3 linked regions of the Arabidopsis thaliana genome follow. The protein of the gene in region 3 interacts with the protein of the main gene of each other region in a pairwise test. Each region holds a gene or a part of one and is shown on either strand. Other genes may lie near its edges.

Region 1 (6,200 bases), on a different chromosome or scaffold from region 3:
CCCGGCTTTGTAAAGATGAAACGGGTTGTGCAAGGAAAGTTTGTTTCTTTGCTCATAAACGCGAAGAGATGAGACCTGTTAATGCTTCAACTGGCTCTGCCGTGGCTCAGTCTCCGTTTAGCAGCTTGGAGATGATGCCAGGGTTGTCTCCTCTTGCTTATTCTTCAGGAGTTTCGACTCCTCCGGTTTCTCCAATGGCTAATGGTGTTCCTTCCTCTCCAAGAAACGGCGGATCATGGCAGAACAGAGTCAATACCCTTACTCCACCGGCTTTGCAGCTCAATGGTGGAAGCAGATTGAAGTCCACACTGAGCGCTAGAGATATCGATATGGAGATGGAGATGGAATTGAGACTCCGCGGTTTTGGCAACAATGTGGAAGAGACGTTCGGGTCTTATGTTTCCTCTCCAAGTAGGAATTCTCAAATGGGTCAAAACATGAACCAACATTATCCATCTTCCCCGGTGAGACAACCGCCATCTCAACACGGGTTCGAATCTTCAGCAGCTGCAGCGGTTGCAGTGATGAAAGCGAGATCAACCGCCTTTGCGAAACGTAGCTTGAGCTTCAAACCAGCTACTCAAGCAGCACCACAGTCGAATCTCTCGGATTGGGGATCTCCAAACGGGAAGCTGGAATGGGGAATGAAAGGAGAAGAGCTGAATAAGATGAGAAGAAGTGTTTCCTTTGGAATCCATGGAAACAACAACAATAACGCAGCTAGAGACTACAGGGACGAGCCAGATGTGTCATGGGTTAACTCTTTAGTTAAAGACAGTACTGTGGTGTCTGAGAGAAGCTTTGGAATGAATGAGAGGGTTCGGATAATGTCGTGGGCTGAGCAAATGTACAGAGAGAAGGAGCAGACTGTGGTGTAAACACACACAAAGATGGTTTCTTATATATATTGCTTTTGGGCCATCTCTGCAAATTTGATTCTTTAATTTTTGTGACTTTCTTTAGTTGTTACTGTTATTAGTAGTATATGGTTTGTTGTCACTACGAGTCTACGTGATGAAAAGATAGAAGTTAATTGCATTAGTTTCTATATTCGTTTCTCATCCTCTTGTAATTTATCAAACCATGAAATGGCTAAGCAATCCAAACCGTAATATGGCTGAAACAAATATACCATGTCATCAACACGAAACATGCACAACGCCACCTCAATGAGCTTCAAAACAGGCTTTAGGCTATACTCAACAACGGTACATAACATAAGTCATCAGAGGCTTCGCATACTTCCCAAATTGGTGATGTTTTAACAAAGTCTTACTTTAAAATTTCATTAAAATAGTAGAATTTTCTTAGATTGACATACTATACAGTATAAGCTTTTTCATAGAAAATATGTCAAAGATGTTATGGGACGCACGTGTGCCTCAGACACATCACTGCGCACGTGGTGAACTTCAAGTAAAATTCTTATTATATAAATAAAGGTATGAGTACGTATGATATATCCGATGTGTATCTGACTCACTCATACTAACAAAATACAGAGGTTTGGGTTGGGTTACTTTGGCTTTGGTTCAAAGCAAAACTGTTGAACGAACAACTAAAAGTCTAAAACCAAATGGAGTCATAATAAAGTATACAAATTCTGCCAAGAAAATAAATAAATTTACATATATATATATATGTAGTAAGATGATGTAAATAAAATGGATTGGTAATGGCAATGGTTGGTGCCGTATACATATATGTGTGTATGAGATTCCTTAGCCTTTACTTCTCTCAAACAGAAAGCTTCATACTATTATCATTTTGAGTATTTGACCTGTCTTTTTAATTTTCATTTGATTTTGCAAAACATATATACATCTATTTCTCTCTTAACGAACACTGATGCTTCACCCTCAACATGCGATGGAAACATGATTGTTACAGAAAACGAAAGATTAGTTTCTTATCCCAAAACGTAAGATTAATTTGGTACTAATCTACTTTTAGATTTGGTGATTAGGAGGAGTAAACTTGTGTTTAATATAAAACTGATCTTTGTTGCTTTAATATGCATGTTTGGTGAATTACACCCGGAAACATAATCAGATCAACTGGCACATGAGACATTAAATTCATGTTGGATCCTTATGTTTCATAGAACATTATGTTTATGAAACAAAAATGTAAATCAATCGGAAACTTTGGTGGTATACAAGTAAATAATTTGGAAAAATACATGTTTAAGCAAAAGTAATTGTTACTAATATCCTAATTTCTACAATTGTTGTTTCGATGGTCCCTTTCTTTAGGTGAGGATTGAGACAATCTTTTAGAATCTTTGATTCCACTCTTCGCTCCAAACTCTACTTTGCTATAACAACAACTTCAAAATAGATTAGTTAAGCGAATCAGGTTACATTTTAAAGAAAACGATATAGAGAGAGCAACTTTGTATATAATTTTAAAATTCTTCACCTGAAAGCCTTTAAAAACCAGTTCAAGATAAACCCATCTCACCAAACTTTAGTAATCACAAAACTAATTAACGTCAAACAATAACAATTTTTTCACAAATTTAATTCTTTTATTCCTTTATTCGTTGCTCTTATATTTCCATCGATCTTTCTCCTTGTCTCACAAACATTCTGACATTTTAGAGAGCCTCGACAGAGAATTATTTTTTTCTTTTTTATTTTCGTTTACAAGTTTCAATTCTTCTCTATATATTAAAAAAACAAACAGATGCAACCTTGGAGAAGAAAATTTCCATTGTTCGAAACAGGAGTTACAATGAAACAGAGGAAGAACAGTAATCTCTCAATCTTCGTCGTAGTCTTCTCTGTTTTCCTCTTCGGGATCTTCATGTACAATGAAGACGTCAAGTCCATCGCAGAGTTTCCTTTCTCCACCTCAAAACCTCACGACGTCCACGACGAAGCGACACCGATCACAGAGATCACAACACTACCGGTTCAAGAGTCGATCAAGAACTCAGACCCAATTCAGGAATCGATCAAAAACGCAGACTCAGTTCAAGATTCAGTTAAAGACGTAGCAGAACCAGTTCAAGAGGAGGTATCGAAAACAGAGGAAGTTAAAAAGATTGAGCTTTTCGCTGCGACGGAGGATGAAGAAGACGTGGAATTGCCGCCGGAGGAATGCGATTTGTTCACCGGAGAATGGGTTTTTGATAACGAGACGCATCCATTGTATAAAGAGGATCAATGTGAGTTCTTGACGGCGCAAGTCACTTGCATGAGAAATGGAAGAAGAGATTCTCTGTATCAGAACTGGAGATGGCAACCTAGAGATTGTTCTTTACCAAAGTAAACCGGAAAAAAGCTCTGTTTTTGTTTTCATCGATTCTTTGGGTTGGTTTAGTTTTGGTTTCTTCTAATTTTGTTTCCGGTTTTGTTTGATTTGGTGAAGGTTCAAAGCGAAATTGCTGTTGGAGAAGCTAAGGAACAAGAGAATGATGTTCGTTGGAGATTCCCTAAACCGGAACCAATGGGAATCAATGGTTTGTTTGGTTCAATCAGTGGTTCCTCCCGGTCGAAAAAGCTTGAACAAAACCGGTTCTCTCTCCGTCTTCCGAGTCGAGGTAATTGAAACCGACTAGTTTATTTCTTATAGTAATGATAATGTGTTTAGTGGAGTTGCTGATTTTCGAGAGTAGTTAAGATAAGTGTGGATTAGTTTTCTAGTTATTAATGTTGAATTTTTGGGTGGTTTTAAAAAGGATTATAATGCGACGGTGGAGTTTTATTGGGCACCATTTTTGGTGGAATCGAATTCAGATGATCCAAATATGCATAGTATACTTAACCGTATAATAATGCCTGAGTCCATTGAAAAGCATGGAGTCAACTGGAAAGGCGTTGACTTTCTTGTTTTCAACACTTACATTTGGTGGATGAACACATTCGCTATGAAAGTCCTGTAAGTCTACTACTACTTCAATATTATTACCTCTATGGTGTGTTATGTATTTTACAAATTTTGTGAATTGAGATTGTGGAAATTGACGATGAAATCAGACGAGGATCGTTCGATAAAGGAGACACCGAGTATGAGGAGATCGAACGGCCAGTAGCGTATAGGAGAGTGATGAGGACTTGGGGAGATTGGGTGGAACGAAATATTGATCCTCTACGTACCACTGTCTTCTTTGCTAGCATGTCTCCTCTTCACATCAAGTAATTAATCTTCCTTTCTTTTTTTCTTAATTGTTGCTTCAATACACAGATTTTAGTTAGTGATGCTTTGCTTGCAAATTGAAATTACTGACAAATTGATAGGTCACTCTCCATGTTTGACTAGTGTCACCATTGAAAATTTGAAATGATTACATAATTTAGTTTCAGTGATTGAGTGACATATGCGTTTCTTAGAAATTAATTCCTACTAGCTCCTGACTCCATTTAATTGACCTGCTAAATATTATACGTGAGAGTTAGTAGTTTTTAAACTTTTCCTTAAACCAAAATGATTTCAAATATGATTTGATTTAAAACAGGAAAAGGTTGATCATTTTGTGTTTTTCTCTGGATTAGGTTATTGATAGATTGCCAATTATAATGTCACTTAGTTAATTCTTTATTTTTGTTATAATAATCCAAAACAAAAAAAACACAGGTTGGTATAATCATTAATAACACCAGACCATAATATTTTAAACCTGCGGACGTAACTTAACTTGAAAACCAAGCAACTACCAGAAAAGAAAAAGAGATAACAAGTCGTTGTCCTTTGAAAAATCCACACAGTATACAAAAATCAGCTAAAAACATAAAAACTCTAAATAGTATTTCATTTTAACGAGTTGGTGAACCACCCACATATTAGACTTTTAATTGTATGTGTTTATCTTAACTAACAAAATATAGTTTGTAATTTTTGTTGTTATATTGTATAGGAGCTTGGATTGGGAGAATCCAGATGGGATCAAGTGTGCATTAGAGACGACACCAATCCTAAACATGTCAATGCCATTCAGCGTAGGAACAGACTACAGACTGTTTTCAGTAGCGGAAAACGTCACGCATTCTCTTAATGTTCCGGTTTACTTTCTCAACATTACCAAACTCTCCGAATACCGGAAAGATGCTCACACTTCGGTTCACACAATCCGACAAGGCAAAATGCTGACGCCGGAGCAACAAGCCGATCCCAACACTTACGCCGATTGTATCCATTGGTGTCTTCCCGGTTTACCTGACACGTGGAATGAGTTCCTTTACACACGTATCATTTCCCGTTCGTGACCTACAAAATATTTGAAATATCTCTTTTTCAATATTTTTTCCCACTTTGCTCCATCCAATGGAAGAGCCTTGAAATTTTATTATTTTGATGTCCTAATGTTCATAATTTTTCTTGAATTGTAATTGTGAAATGTTTCTTTCTTTTTCTTTAATGGTTATTAGAGTGCCTAGTAGGCTATTTTAACTGTTTTTGTACTCTTAAAACTTTGAAATGAGGTGGATAACAAAGGATGCCAAATGTTTTTTTTTTGTTCAATGAAGTGGGTAAAACTTGCTCACATTCGACTGTTTCTTTTAACGGTCGATTTTTTTGTTAACCGGGAAAATAAATATAAAGGTCATTATGTTTCAATCTCTTGCTATTTTGTTGGACTATTAAGATTTTTGAATGTTAGATCGTTACAAAGGATTCTTCCATTAAAACAGTAACATGATCACAAAACCACATCTTTTAATCACTATACAATCGAACCTTTTGAAAGAATGAATGTGTAGGAGAAGAAGAAGAAAGAAGTTAGATATGTCAGTGGTTACTCGGAAGTCTGGACCGGCGTACTTGGAACCGGCATTCCAACGTAGCCAACTCCAACAACAAAGAAGGCAATGGACTGCAAGAAAAGATACACGTAAAGGTATGTCCTCCCAAACACAAAATCATAGTATCCACATATGAAGAGATACATTCCAACCATTATCTCTCGCCATCGAAGTCTGCACAAATTCGAAATCATATCATTGATTGATTAGCCATTTCGCACGATAAATCTATTCGGGGAAAAAGTTCAAACCTCTCGGGGAAGCTATAGTGATCAGGAAAAATGAGGTTTTCCCTGAGATTGTTACTCTCTCCTAGTTTTTGTGTAACAATCCATTCTTTAACTCTACTAGTCTCTAGCAATCCAATGAGAGTTCCTATACTCCTATGCATCGCCATTACGTTTTCAAATAAGATCCAATAGAGTATGAGGTAAAATGATTTAGGTGTTGCAA
Region 2 (5,152 bases), on a different chromosome or scaffold from region 3:
TTCTAATTACTGTATATGGAAGATGTGAATGAAGTTTTGGTCCTGAATGTGGCCAAGGTTCCGTCATTTGGAGATACGAAATCAAATCTCCTTTAAGATTTTGTTTTTATAATGTGTTCTTCCATCCACATCTATCTCCATATGATATGGACCATATCATACATCATCATTTGTCCAAATGCATGAATGAATTTGGAAATAGGTACGAGAATGCCAACAATGACAAGAAGGGATCAAAGACAGTTTTTAAAACAATATTTTACAGGGTTTTAATCTAATTCTAAGTTTTGGTCACTCACTTTGTTAAAAGAATAATTCAGTGTCTGGACACTAAAATCTTCCAAAAACCCCATATACATATATGCTATTTCGATACTTATATTTATTTACTCAGCATAAAAAATATTAACCATGTATTCATAGTAAAATGTTTCATGTGATATCAAACCAGCGACAACAAAAGTATTATTCCCCTCATTATGTTTGACTCCTATTATATTTTTATTTTAATTTTTTTCACTATCATCTTTCTTGCAATGAAAGTCCCATATATTGGTCAACATTTCAAACCACTTGTTCTCTTTTATGTTTTGGTAAGAGCTATCTTCTAAATTTATAATACGCATAAATTCAAAAGTAAAAGAAAATTTTGGTCATGAATGTTGTTTAAGTCATTTGGAGATACGAAATCAAATCTCCTTGTAGATTTTGTTTTTAGAATGTCGTTCCTTTTTCATCATCTTAGCTATATCTACAGCTATATATCCTATCTTTAAACCTATATTATTTTTTCCTCTCTTCACCAAAGCCATGTTTTTTAGTTGTGGCGAAAAATAAGAAATCCATACATCAACATATCGCTTTCGTTACCTTAAATTTTGGCTTGTTATGAAGGCATGTCATAACGTTTCTAGTCACAACTCACAAGCATACCAACGACCATGATAAATCCAAAAAGTAGAAACAATCTATTATCTAAACCCCCAAAAGACAAAAGAAAAAAGTAGAAAGAAAAGGTAGGCAGAGATATAATGCTGGTTTTATTTGTTTGTTAAAAGATATTGCTATTTCTGCCAATATTAAAACTTCACTTAGGAAGACTTGAACCTACCACACGTTAGTGACTAATGAGAGCCACTAGATAATTGCATGCATCCCACACTAGTACTAATTTTCTAGGGATATTAGAGTTTTCTAATCACCTACTTCCTACTATGTGTATGTTATCTACTGGCGTGGATGCTTTTAAAGATGTTACGTTATTATTTTGTTCGGTTTGGAAAACGGCTCAATCGTTATGAGTTCGTAAGACACATACATTGTTCCATGATAAAATGCAACCCCACGAACCATTTGCGACAAGCAAAACAACATGGTCAAAATTAAAAGCTAACAATTAGCCAGCGATTCAAAAAGTCAACCTTCTAGATGGATTTAACAACATATCGATAGGATTCAAGATTAAAAATAAGCACACTCTTATTAATGTTAAAAAACGAATGAGATGAAAATATTTGGCGTGTTCACACACATAATCTAGAAGACAGATTCGAGTTGCTCTCCTTTGTTTTGCTTTGGGAGGGACCCATTATTACCGCCCAGCAGCTTCCCAGCCTTCCTTTATAAGGCTTAATTTATATTTATTTAAATTTTATATGTTCTTCTATTATAATACTAAAAGGGGAATACAAATTTCTACAGAGGATGATATTCAATCCACGGTTCACCCAAACCGATTTTATAAAATTTATTATTAAATCTTTTTTAATTGTTAAATTGGTTTAAATCTGAACTCTGTTTACTTACATTGATTAAAATTCTAAACCATCATAAGTAAAAAATAATATGATTAAGACTAATAAATCTTAATAGTTAATACTACTCGGTTTACTACATGAAATTTCATACCATCAATTGTTTTAATAATCTTTAAAATTGTTAGGACCGGTAAAACCATACCAATTAAACCGGAGATCCATATTAATTTAATTAAGAAAATAAAAATAAAAGGAATAAATTGTCTTATTTAAACGCTGACTTCACTGTCTTCCTCCCTCCAAATTATTAGATATACCAAACCAGAGAAAACAAATACATAATCGGAGAAATACAGATTACAGAGAGCGAGAGAGATCGACGGCGAAGCTCTTTACCCGGAAACCATTGAAATCGGACGGTTTAGTGAAAATGGAGGATCAAGTTGGGTTTGGGTTCCGTCCGAACGACGAGGAGCTCGTTGGTCACTATCTCCGTAACAAAATCGAAGGAAACACTAGCCGCGACGTTGAAGTAGCCATCAGCGAGGTCAACATCTGTAGCTACGATCCTTGGAACTTGCGCTGTAAGTTCCGAATTTTCTGAATTTCATTTGCAAGTAATCGATTTAGGTTTTTGATTTTAGGGTTTTTTTTTGTTTTGAACAGTCCAGTCAAAGTACAAATCGAGAGATGCTATGTGGTACTTCTTCTCTCGTAGAGAAAACAACAAAGGGAATCGACAGAGCAGGACAACGGTTTCTGGTAAATGGAAGCTTACCGGAGAATCTGTTGAGGTCAAGGACCAGTGGGGATTTTGTAGTGAGGGCTTTCGTGGTAAGATTGGTCATAAAAGGGTTTTGGTGTTCCTCGATGGAAGATACCCTGACAAAACCAAATCTGATTGGGTTATCCACGAGTTCCACTACGACCTCTTACCAGAACATCAGGTTTTCTTCTATTCATATATATATATATATATATATGTGGATATATATATATGTGGTTTCTGCTGATTCATAGTTAGAATTTGAGTTATGCAAATTAGAAACTATGTAATGTAACTCTATTTAGGTTCAGCAGCTATTTTAGGCTTAGCTTACTCTCACCAATGTTTTATACTGATGAACTTATGTGCTTACCTCCGGAAATTTTACAGAGGACATATGTCATCTGCAGACTTGAGTACAAGGGTGATGATGCGGACATTCTATCTGCTTATGCAATAGATCCCACTCCCGCTTTTGTCCCCAATATGACTAGTAGTGCAGGTTCTGTGGTGAGTCTTTCTCCATATACACTTAGCTTTGAGTAGGCAGATCAAAAAAGAGCTTGTGTCTACTGATTTGATGTTTTCCTAAACTGTTGATTCGTTTCAGGTCAACCAATCACGTCAACGAAATTCAGGATCTTACAACACTTACTCTGAGTATGATTCAGCAAATCATGGCCAGCAGTTTAATGAAAACTCTAACATTATGCAGCAGCAACCACTTCAAGGATCATTCAACCCTCTCCTTGAGTATGATTTTGCAAATCACGGCGGTCAGTGGCTGAGTGACTATATCGACCTGCAACAGCAAGTTCCTTACTTGGCACCTTATGAAAATGAGTCGGAGATGATTTGGAAGCATGTGATTGAAGAAAATTTTGAGTTTTTGGTAGATGAAAGGACATCTATGCAACAGCATTACAGTGATCACCGGCCCAAAAAACCTGTGTCTGGGGTTTTGCCTGATGATAGCAGTGATACTGAAACTGGATCAATGGTAAGCTTTTTTTACTCATATATAATCACAACCTATATCGCTTCTATATCTCACACGCTGAATTTTGGCTTTTAACAGATTTTCGAAGACACTTCGAGCTCCACTGATAGTGTTGGTAGTTCAGATGAACCGGGCCATACTCGTATAGATGATATTCCATCATTGAACATTATTGAGCCTTTGCACAATTATAAGGCACAAGAGCAACCAAAGCAGCAGAGCAAAGAAAAGGTTTAACACTCTCACTGAGAAACATGACTTTGATACGAAATCTGAATCAACATTTCATCAAAAAGATTTAGTCAAATGACCTCTAAATTATGAGCTATGGGTCTGCTTTCAGGTGATAAGTTCGCAGAAAAGCGAATGCGAGTGGAAAATGGCTGAAGACTCGATCAAGATACCTCCATCCACCAACACGGTGAAGCAGAGCTGGATTGTTTTGGAGAATGCACAGTGGAACTATCTCAAGAACATGATCATTGGTGTCTTGTTGTTCATCTCCGTCATTAGTTGGATCATTCTTGTTGGTTAAGAGGTCAAATCGGATTCTTGCTCAAAATTTGTATTTCTTAGAATGTGTGTTTTTTTTTGTTTTTTTTTCTTTGCTCTGTTTTCTCGCTCCGGAAAAGTTTGAAGTTATATTTTATTAGTATGTAAAGAAGAGAAAAAGGGGGAAAGAAGAGAGAAGAAAAATGCAGAAAATCATATATATGAATTGGAAAAAAGTATATGTAATAATAATTAGTGCATCGTTTTGTGGTGTAGTTTATATAAATAAAGTGATATATAGTCTTGTATAAGAAAGGGATTTTACATGAGACCCAAATATGAGTAAAGGGTGTTGGCTCAAAGATTCATTTAGCAACCAAAGTTGCATTTGCAAGGAAATGAAAAGGTGTTAACAATGTCACTGCGTAACATGACTTCGATACAAAATCTCAAACAATACATCTTCAACTGTGGATTATGATGGACTTGGGGTTGCAGGTGATATGTCTATAGAAAAACGGGTGGGAATGGAAAATGGCTGAAGAAGAAAGCTCCAACTAAGCATCATAACTGGATTGTTTTAGAGGAGATGAGTCAAAGGAATTCACAGTGGAACTATCTCAAGAACATGATCATTGGCTTCTTATTGTTCATCTCCATCATTGGCTGGATCATTCTGGTTCAAGAGGTCAAATTATATATACATAACGGATCTAAGAAGTATAGTGTAGTCAATTAAAACAAAACGAGACTTGAAAATAAGCATAAGTATTATTAAGTTAACCCAATATTCGTTTCAATGCTTTAGTTATCATCAGAATTCTCAACATTTTCAGATATTTAACTTGCCTTTGGTTGCTTTCTCGCCATGGTAGTAGCATTCTCCGGATAAGAATCAAGGGGAGCCTCAACTTCGGCTTCAACCGTCTCCTCGTCTTTCCTATGACATTCACTTGGTGTTGCAACAATGTGTTGATGCCCCACATTCATAGGAGAGTCCCACATATCTCCAACATTCATAGGAGGGTTCCACATATGCCCACCATTCCAAGGAGGGTACCACCACATATGCCCAGCATTCCAAGAAAGATGGAGCGACGATATCGTGAGGAACAAGGTTTTTGTAGGGCAAATAAT
Region 3 (5,694 bases):
GGATGATAAAACCAAGTTGGAATTGGGTGATCTAGTGAACCTGGAGTACTTGTATGGTTTCTCAACGCAACACAGTAGTGTGACAGACCTCCTCCGTATGACTAAGCTCCGGTATCTCGCTGTATCTTTGAGCGAAAGGTGCAATTTTGAAACTCTATCGTCATCTCTCCGCGAATTGCGAAACCTCGAGACGCTTAATTTCCTTTTTTCGCTCGAAACATATATGGTTGATTATATGGGAGAGTTTGTTCTGGATCATTTTATTCATCTAAAACAGTTGGGATTGGCAGTACGTATGTCAAAGATTCCTGATCAACATCAATTCCCTCCCCACCTTGTACACTTATTTCTAATTTATTGCGGCATGGAAGAGGATCCAATGCCAATTCTAGAAAAGTTGCTTCATTTGAAGTCGGTTCGTTTAGCACGTAAGGCATTCCTAGGGAGCAGAATGGTGTGCTCAAAAGGCGGATTTCCTCAATTATGTGTTATAGAAATATCTAAAGAATCAGAGTTGGAAGAGTGGATAGTAGAAGAAGGGTCGATGCCATGTCTTCGTACTTTGACTATAGATGATTGCAAAAAGTTGAAGGAACTTCCAGATGGACTCAAGTACATAACATCCTTAAAGGAACTGAAGATTGAAGGAATGAAGAGGGAGTGGAAGGAGAAACTGGTACCAGGTGGAGAAGATTACTACAAAGTCCAACACATTCCCGATGTTCAATTTATCAACTGTGACCAGTAGCAGGTAAAAAATAAATTGTATAGTGTTCACTTTGTTTTTTTCTGTTGTTGTTGGATTCGTGTGAAAGTCATGTGGACAGTCTCAACTATTATACATTGTTCTAACATCGATCATCTTTGAAATAAGATGCAGGAAAGACCAAGAAGCGAGCCAAATTCTCTTATATTGGGAGATATAGACGCTGCTTCAACAGAGTCATCTGCTGATCAACAGGTTTTTCCGAAGAATATCTGGTATTGCTTATGAAGAATACAGATTCTCAAGTATTAACGATTATGTTTCCAGTCTTGGAGCTCTCGCTTTTTCAGTGCATCGTTATGTTGTGCGGCTCAGAACTATATTATAGAAACAATGCTTATATTGTTGTTTGTTTTTGATGTGGATGCATGGAACATGCTTGAGAACTCTTTTACAAAATGGAGAAACGAAACTTGTAAAATTTGGATATTTTATGTTTGTTGTAAAATTTGGATATTTTGTGTTTGTGTAAAATTTGGATATTATATGTTTTGCTTTCTCGTTTGTGATTTAACACAGTTCGTTTTGTAAGCTTTATTTACAGTTTACACCATCAAATCTTGTCAGTTTTTTTTTGACGTTTTGTTAGTTTTGCACCTCTTTGACTGTGTATAAGCATAGGCAAGACATGGTTGAAGCAAGACGAGCAAAACTGATGTACAATAAACAGAGTAATCTCATTTCCAAAACTTCTGGCAAAACATTATATTTTCTCAGGGGAACAAATCACACAGACAAGAAGAGAAAGATTCCTTGGTCGAAACTTTACGGGTTTGTAGCAAGTTTGTTGAAGGCGGCGTGAACTCTCTCTTCTGTGAACAGTCTATGGTTTTCATAGAAATCTAATATCTCCATTGCAATATTCTTCACCTGCCAATATGTTCACAACATTCCGATGAACAACTAAACAAGACCATGCCTTCTAGTAACAACAGAGATAACAGTGCATGGACTTACAATGTTATAGGTTATTTTCGATATTTTTTGTAAAAGATCCCAAATTTACTTTGTTTAATTAAAGAAGTAGGTTTCAGTTCAGATTGGTGGATTTTCGTTCATATTATTGGTCCAACCCTATTCAAACTTACAATTCTAGTAGCCCAAAAAGGAATAGAAGTCGAGTTGGTTAAATACGAACATAAAACCTGATGATTCACTGCTTTCATGGAACCAACCGAGTTCTGTTCCCGTATGTTTGTAATCCCATCTGGAGGTCTTTAAGTGGAAGGAATATGGAATCTATGTGTGGAGCTTCGACATCAACACTACTCAATTGGAATAGCCGAGCTTTTAAAATTTAACGAGAGAGAGACTTGATCTTTAACATGGTTCTTATGAGGCGTTAGTGAAGCCATTTTTTGAATAAACTTCTGTTTTAGCTGTTTGGATTCCAAGGTCATGAAATCATTGTTCTGTAGCTGCATGGTTCCAGTTTCAACAAACCAAAACTTCAAGATCCCCAATATCAAATCACAGTATTAGTATAAGATCATGAGCTAATCTAAGAATCCTAAAACAGAAAGAAAACAAAAGTTCTAAGGAAAGATTTTGTCGGGAAAAAAGGAAAAGGCAAGGTATTGCTTGCTCATGGCAAAACCAGAAGAAAACTAATATTGATACTAGGCAGCTTTCGGCTTAGGTGTCCTCTTCTTCAAATTCTTCTTGGCGGGTGTCGAGTTCTTCATTCCGATAAAGAAGAGTAACGCTCCAAAGAGTGCAACGCTCTGCAATAACAAAAGGCATGAGATTTTTATCGAGATATTGTCCATTGTGATAAACAGTATGATCTCTTGGCTTTACAAGGCTGAAACTTTAAAGGTGCAAAGCTGCGTTTCTTAAGATTACGATAATTGATAATAAGTTTCTGGACAAACCTGCAAGAACTCTGTCAACAGAAGAGAGAAATGACGTTCCTGAGGTCCGTAGTTGTAGAAATCATAGAGAATAGGACCGAAAACCACCAAGTAGGAAGCCTGAAACAAAAAAGATTAAGATTTTAAGAGATCATACAAATAGCAAGCTTTTTGAATCCCTTATTTGTAAGTTGAACAAGAAGAAGCCTAACCAGAAGATAAGCACCGAAGGTGTTTCCGATAACAAAGAGTAAGCCTCCGACTCCTTTCAGGGCAATAATAGTAGCAACGACTTGTCTCACCTATAAAAATTCATTCTCCAAGTCATAAAAAGACACTTTTAAAGAGTGCGAACAAGAGACAAGAACATCATAACCAGGTCATTACCTCTATTTTGGGCAATGTTACTCCTAATCTAGAAGATAAATGTGCCTTAACCAAATCAAGCTTTGGAGCCAATTCTTTAGCTGCAGGACCACCATCATTGAACCTATTCAAATTCCCCCAAATAAGCGTTGTTAAAATTTAGTAATATAGTCAAAAGAGGAAGATAATATTTTGAGCTATCAAGTAAACAAACTAAAATCCTAGTAACGACTAACGAATAGTACGAGAACAATCTTATTTTACATTTATCGATCATCTTCCATTTAGAGTAAATGATGCTTTGTCTCTAGACCACTAAACATTGGAATAACCAAACCAATTCAACGTCTAACCATATGAACAACAGAGCTAAAGACATCTATAAACGAATATAAGAGAGAACAATTATATGTGCCCTAAATGCGGTAATAAGCCCAAGCCAGATTCAACCATGATCAAACAACATCATACATTGATTGATAACACAAGATACATAAATATTCAAACTTTGATTAATCTAAAGTGACCAGATCACCAAAACCTAAAATCAAGCTCAAAATACAAATCAATAACAGTAAGAAATCTAGATCGAAACATAACAAGTACTCAAAATCAAATCGTGATAGATTCAGATAAATATCCAATTTCACGAAACCCTAGATATCAAAAAGAGCCTATAAAGCTTCTCAATTCCCAGATTAGATCTAGCACGAAGCAATTCACTATTAAGCATCGGAAAACAATCCGAAATCTCAATCAAGGAACACGAAGAGACGCGAGAACAGATCGAGAATGGAGAAAAAAGAAAAAGGCCTCACATTTGCCAAGCGGAGAGGATAAAGAGAGAAGCGAAGAGAACTCTTCCAAGAAAAGAGAAGAAACCCATCTCTATGAGTTTGGTCTTAAGCTCAGGCTCGCTTGTTCGTAGATTTGTCTGACGGAGAGAAGGAGAATCTTCTTCGTTTCGGCGAGGAGGAAAAACTGCGGTTCTATTGGTTTAGGTTTATTTATTAACATTTCAAAAAAAAGAAAAAAAAACATTATCAAATTTATTAAATTTTAACTCCCAACGAGAAACTATATTTTACACGATCGATTCATTTCTCCGAGAAGAATATGTACTTTTTTACTTTCGACAAAAGAACCATATTTTTAGCTTGGGAATCTTGGATTAAATATTAGGACAATATTTTTAACTTGAGAATCTTGGTTTAAATATGAGAACCATATTTCAGAAAAAAAAAGTTTATATATGTGTAATTTTGTCGGAACCGGATTTACTAACATTCGTAGGTAGTCGGATTTGGTCCCGTAAAATAAAATGGTAAATAAAACAAAATTAATAGTAAAGAAAATGAAAAATAATTTACAAACACAAATTAAATTGAATACAAACTAGCTATCATAATATTTTTCAAGTTGGTTTTCATGAACATTTTAGAGCACTAAGCTATATAACAAAATAATAATAATTAAACATCTTTTAATCATTAAGTATTTAAAGATCCATACAAATGTTGGTTACTTGGTACAACCAACAAGGCAAAGGCGGTACTGAATAAGAATATAAGATACATGAAAAATTGATCTACTATACTTTACAAAACGCGTTAGATATTATATAATTGCTACTCGTTCAATTCATGGGGATGTAGCTCAGATGGTAGAGCGCTCGCTTAGCATGCGAGAGGCACGGGGATCGATACCCCGCATCTCCACTTTTATTGTTTTCTTTTTAAGGTTCTTTTTCTTTTAATTTATTTTCAATCTTCTAGTCTTCAATTCTGTTTTTGTTTCTGTCGGAATCTCTTAAAAGTCAATTTAAATACTTTAAATTCCTTGCACAACACTCAATTTTGATACTTTGAATTCCTTGCACAACACAACACGTCGCTATCAATCACAGACACCACAAACTTGGACACTTATCTTTAGTTCTGTCTTAAACTGAATCTCCCTCTTATCAATTCTGTTTTTGTTTCTGTCGGAATATCTTAAAAGTCAATTTTAATACTTTGAATTCCTTGCACAACACAACACGTCGCTCTCAATCACAGACACCACAAACTTCGACACTTATCTTTAGTTCCGTCTTAAATTGAATCTTCCTCTTCTTCTTGAGTCTTCAGAACAACAACAAAAAACAGAATCTTGAAAGAAAGAAAAAAAGAAAAAAACATGACAGAGAATTCTGAAAAAATCGATCGTTTAAACGATCTCACGACTTTTATCTCGACGAAGACAGGAGTGAAAGGACTCGTCGATGCCGAAATAACCGAAGTTCCTAGCATGTTTCATGTCCCTTCTTCTATTTTATCAAACAACAGACCTTCTGATATCTCCGGCTTAAACCTCACCGTCCCAATCATCGACCTCGGAGATCGTAACACATCTTCAAGAAACGTTGTCATTTCGAAGATCAAAGACGCAGCTGAGAATTGGGGATTTTTCCAAGTGATCAATCATGATGTTCCTTTAACTGTTCTTGAAGAGATCAAAGAGAGTGTTCGAAGGTTTCATGAACAAGATCCAGTTGTCAAGAACCAATATCTTCCTACCGATAACAACAAGAGATTTGTTTATAACAATGATTTCGATCTCTATCATTCTTCTCCTTTGAATTGGAGAGACTCTTTCACTTGTTATATTGCTCCAGATCCTCCGAATCCAGAGGAAATCCCACTAGCTTGCAGGTACATGTTATATATA

Evidence for each region.
Region 1: the proteins of AT5G43460 (region 3) and ESK1 interact in a protein complementation assay, tested with the Arabidopsis thaliana proteins (one large-scale study listed by BioGRID).
Region 2: the proteins of AT5G43460 (region 3) and NAC001 interact in a two-hybrid assay, tested with the Arabidopsis thaliana proteins (one large-scale study listed by BioGRID).

The regions. Positions count from the first base shown.
Region 1 is NC_003074.8:20,777,722-20,783,921, forward strand, and holds ESK1 (trichome birefringence-like protein (DUF828)), read left to right. Parts: upstream 1-2,453; 5' UTR 2,454-2,688; coding exon 2,689-3,272; intron 3,273-3,375; coding exon 3,376-3,547; intron 3,548-3,685; coding exon 3,686-3,885; intron 3,886-3,983; coding exon 3,984-4,142; intron 4,143-4,861; coding exon 4,862-5,210; 3' UTR 5,211-5,512; downstream 5,513-6,200. Other genes in the region: SZF1 (salt-inducible zinc finger 1), read left to right, coding at 1-878; CSLA14 (cellulose synthase like A14), read right to left, coding at 5,741-5,921, 5,999-6,200. UniProt on the Arabidopsis thaliana protein: Xylan acetyltransferase required for 2-O- and 3-O-monoacetylation of xylosyl residues in xylan.
Region 2 is NC_003070.9:1,573-6,724, forward strand, and holds NAC001 (NAC domain containing protein 1), read left to right. Parts: upstream 1-2,058; 5' UTR 2,059-2,187; coding exon 2,188-2,341; intron 2,342-2,423; coding exon 2,424-2,704; intron 2,705-2,913; coding exon 2,914-3,033; intron 3,034-3,133; coding exon 3,134-3,523; intron 3,524-3,601; coding exon 3,602-3,754; intron 3,755-3,866; coding exon 3,867-4,058; 3' UTR 4,059-4,327; downstream 4,328-5,152.
Region 3 is NC_003076.8:17,458,184-17,463,877, reverse strand, and holds AT5G43460 (HR-like lesion-inducing protein-like protein), read right to left. Parts: upstream 4,006-5,694; 5' UTR 3,872-4,005; coding exon 3,804-3,871; intron 3,110-3,803; coding exon 3,007-3,109; intron 2,922-3,006; coding exon 2,832-2,921; intron 2,740-2,831; coding exon 2,641-2,739; intron 2,491-2,640; coding exon 2,386-2,490; 3' UTR 1,905-2,385; exon of another isoform or gene 1,801-1,904; intron 1,637-1,800; 3' UTR 1,362-1,636; downstream 1-1,361. Other genes in the region: RPP8 (Disease resistance protein (CC-NBS-LRR class) family), read left to right, coding at 1-748; AT5G43450 (2-oxoglutarate (2OG) and Fe(II)-dependent oxygenase superfamily protein), read left to right, coding at 5,164-5,678.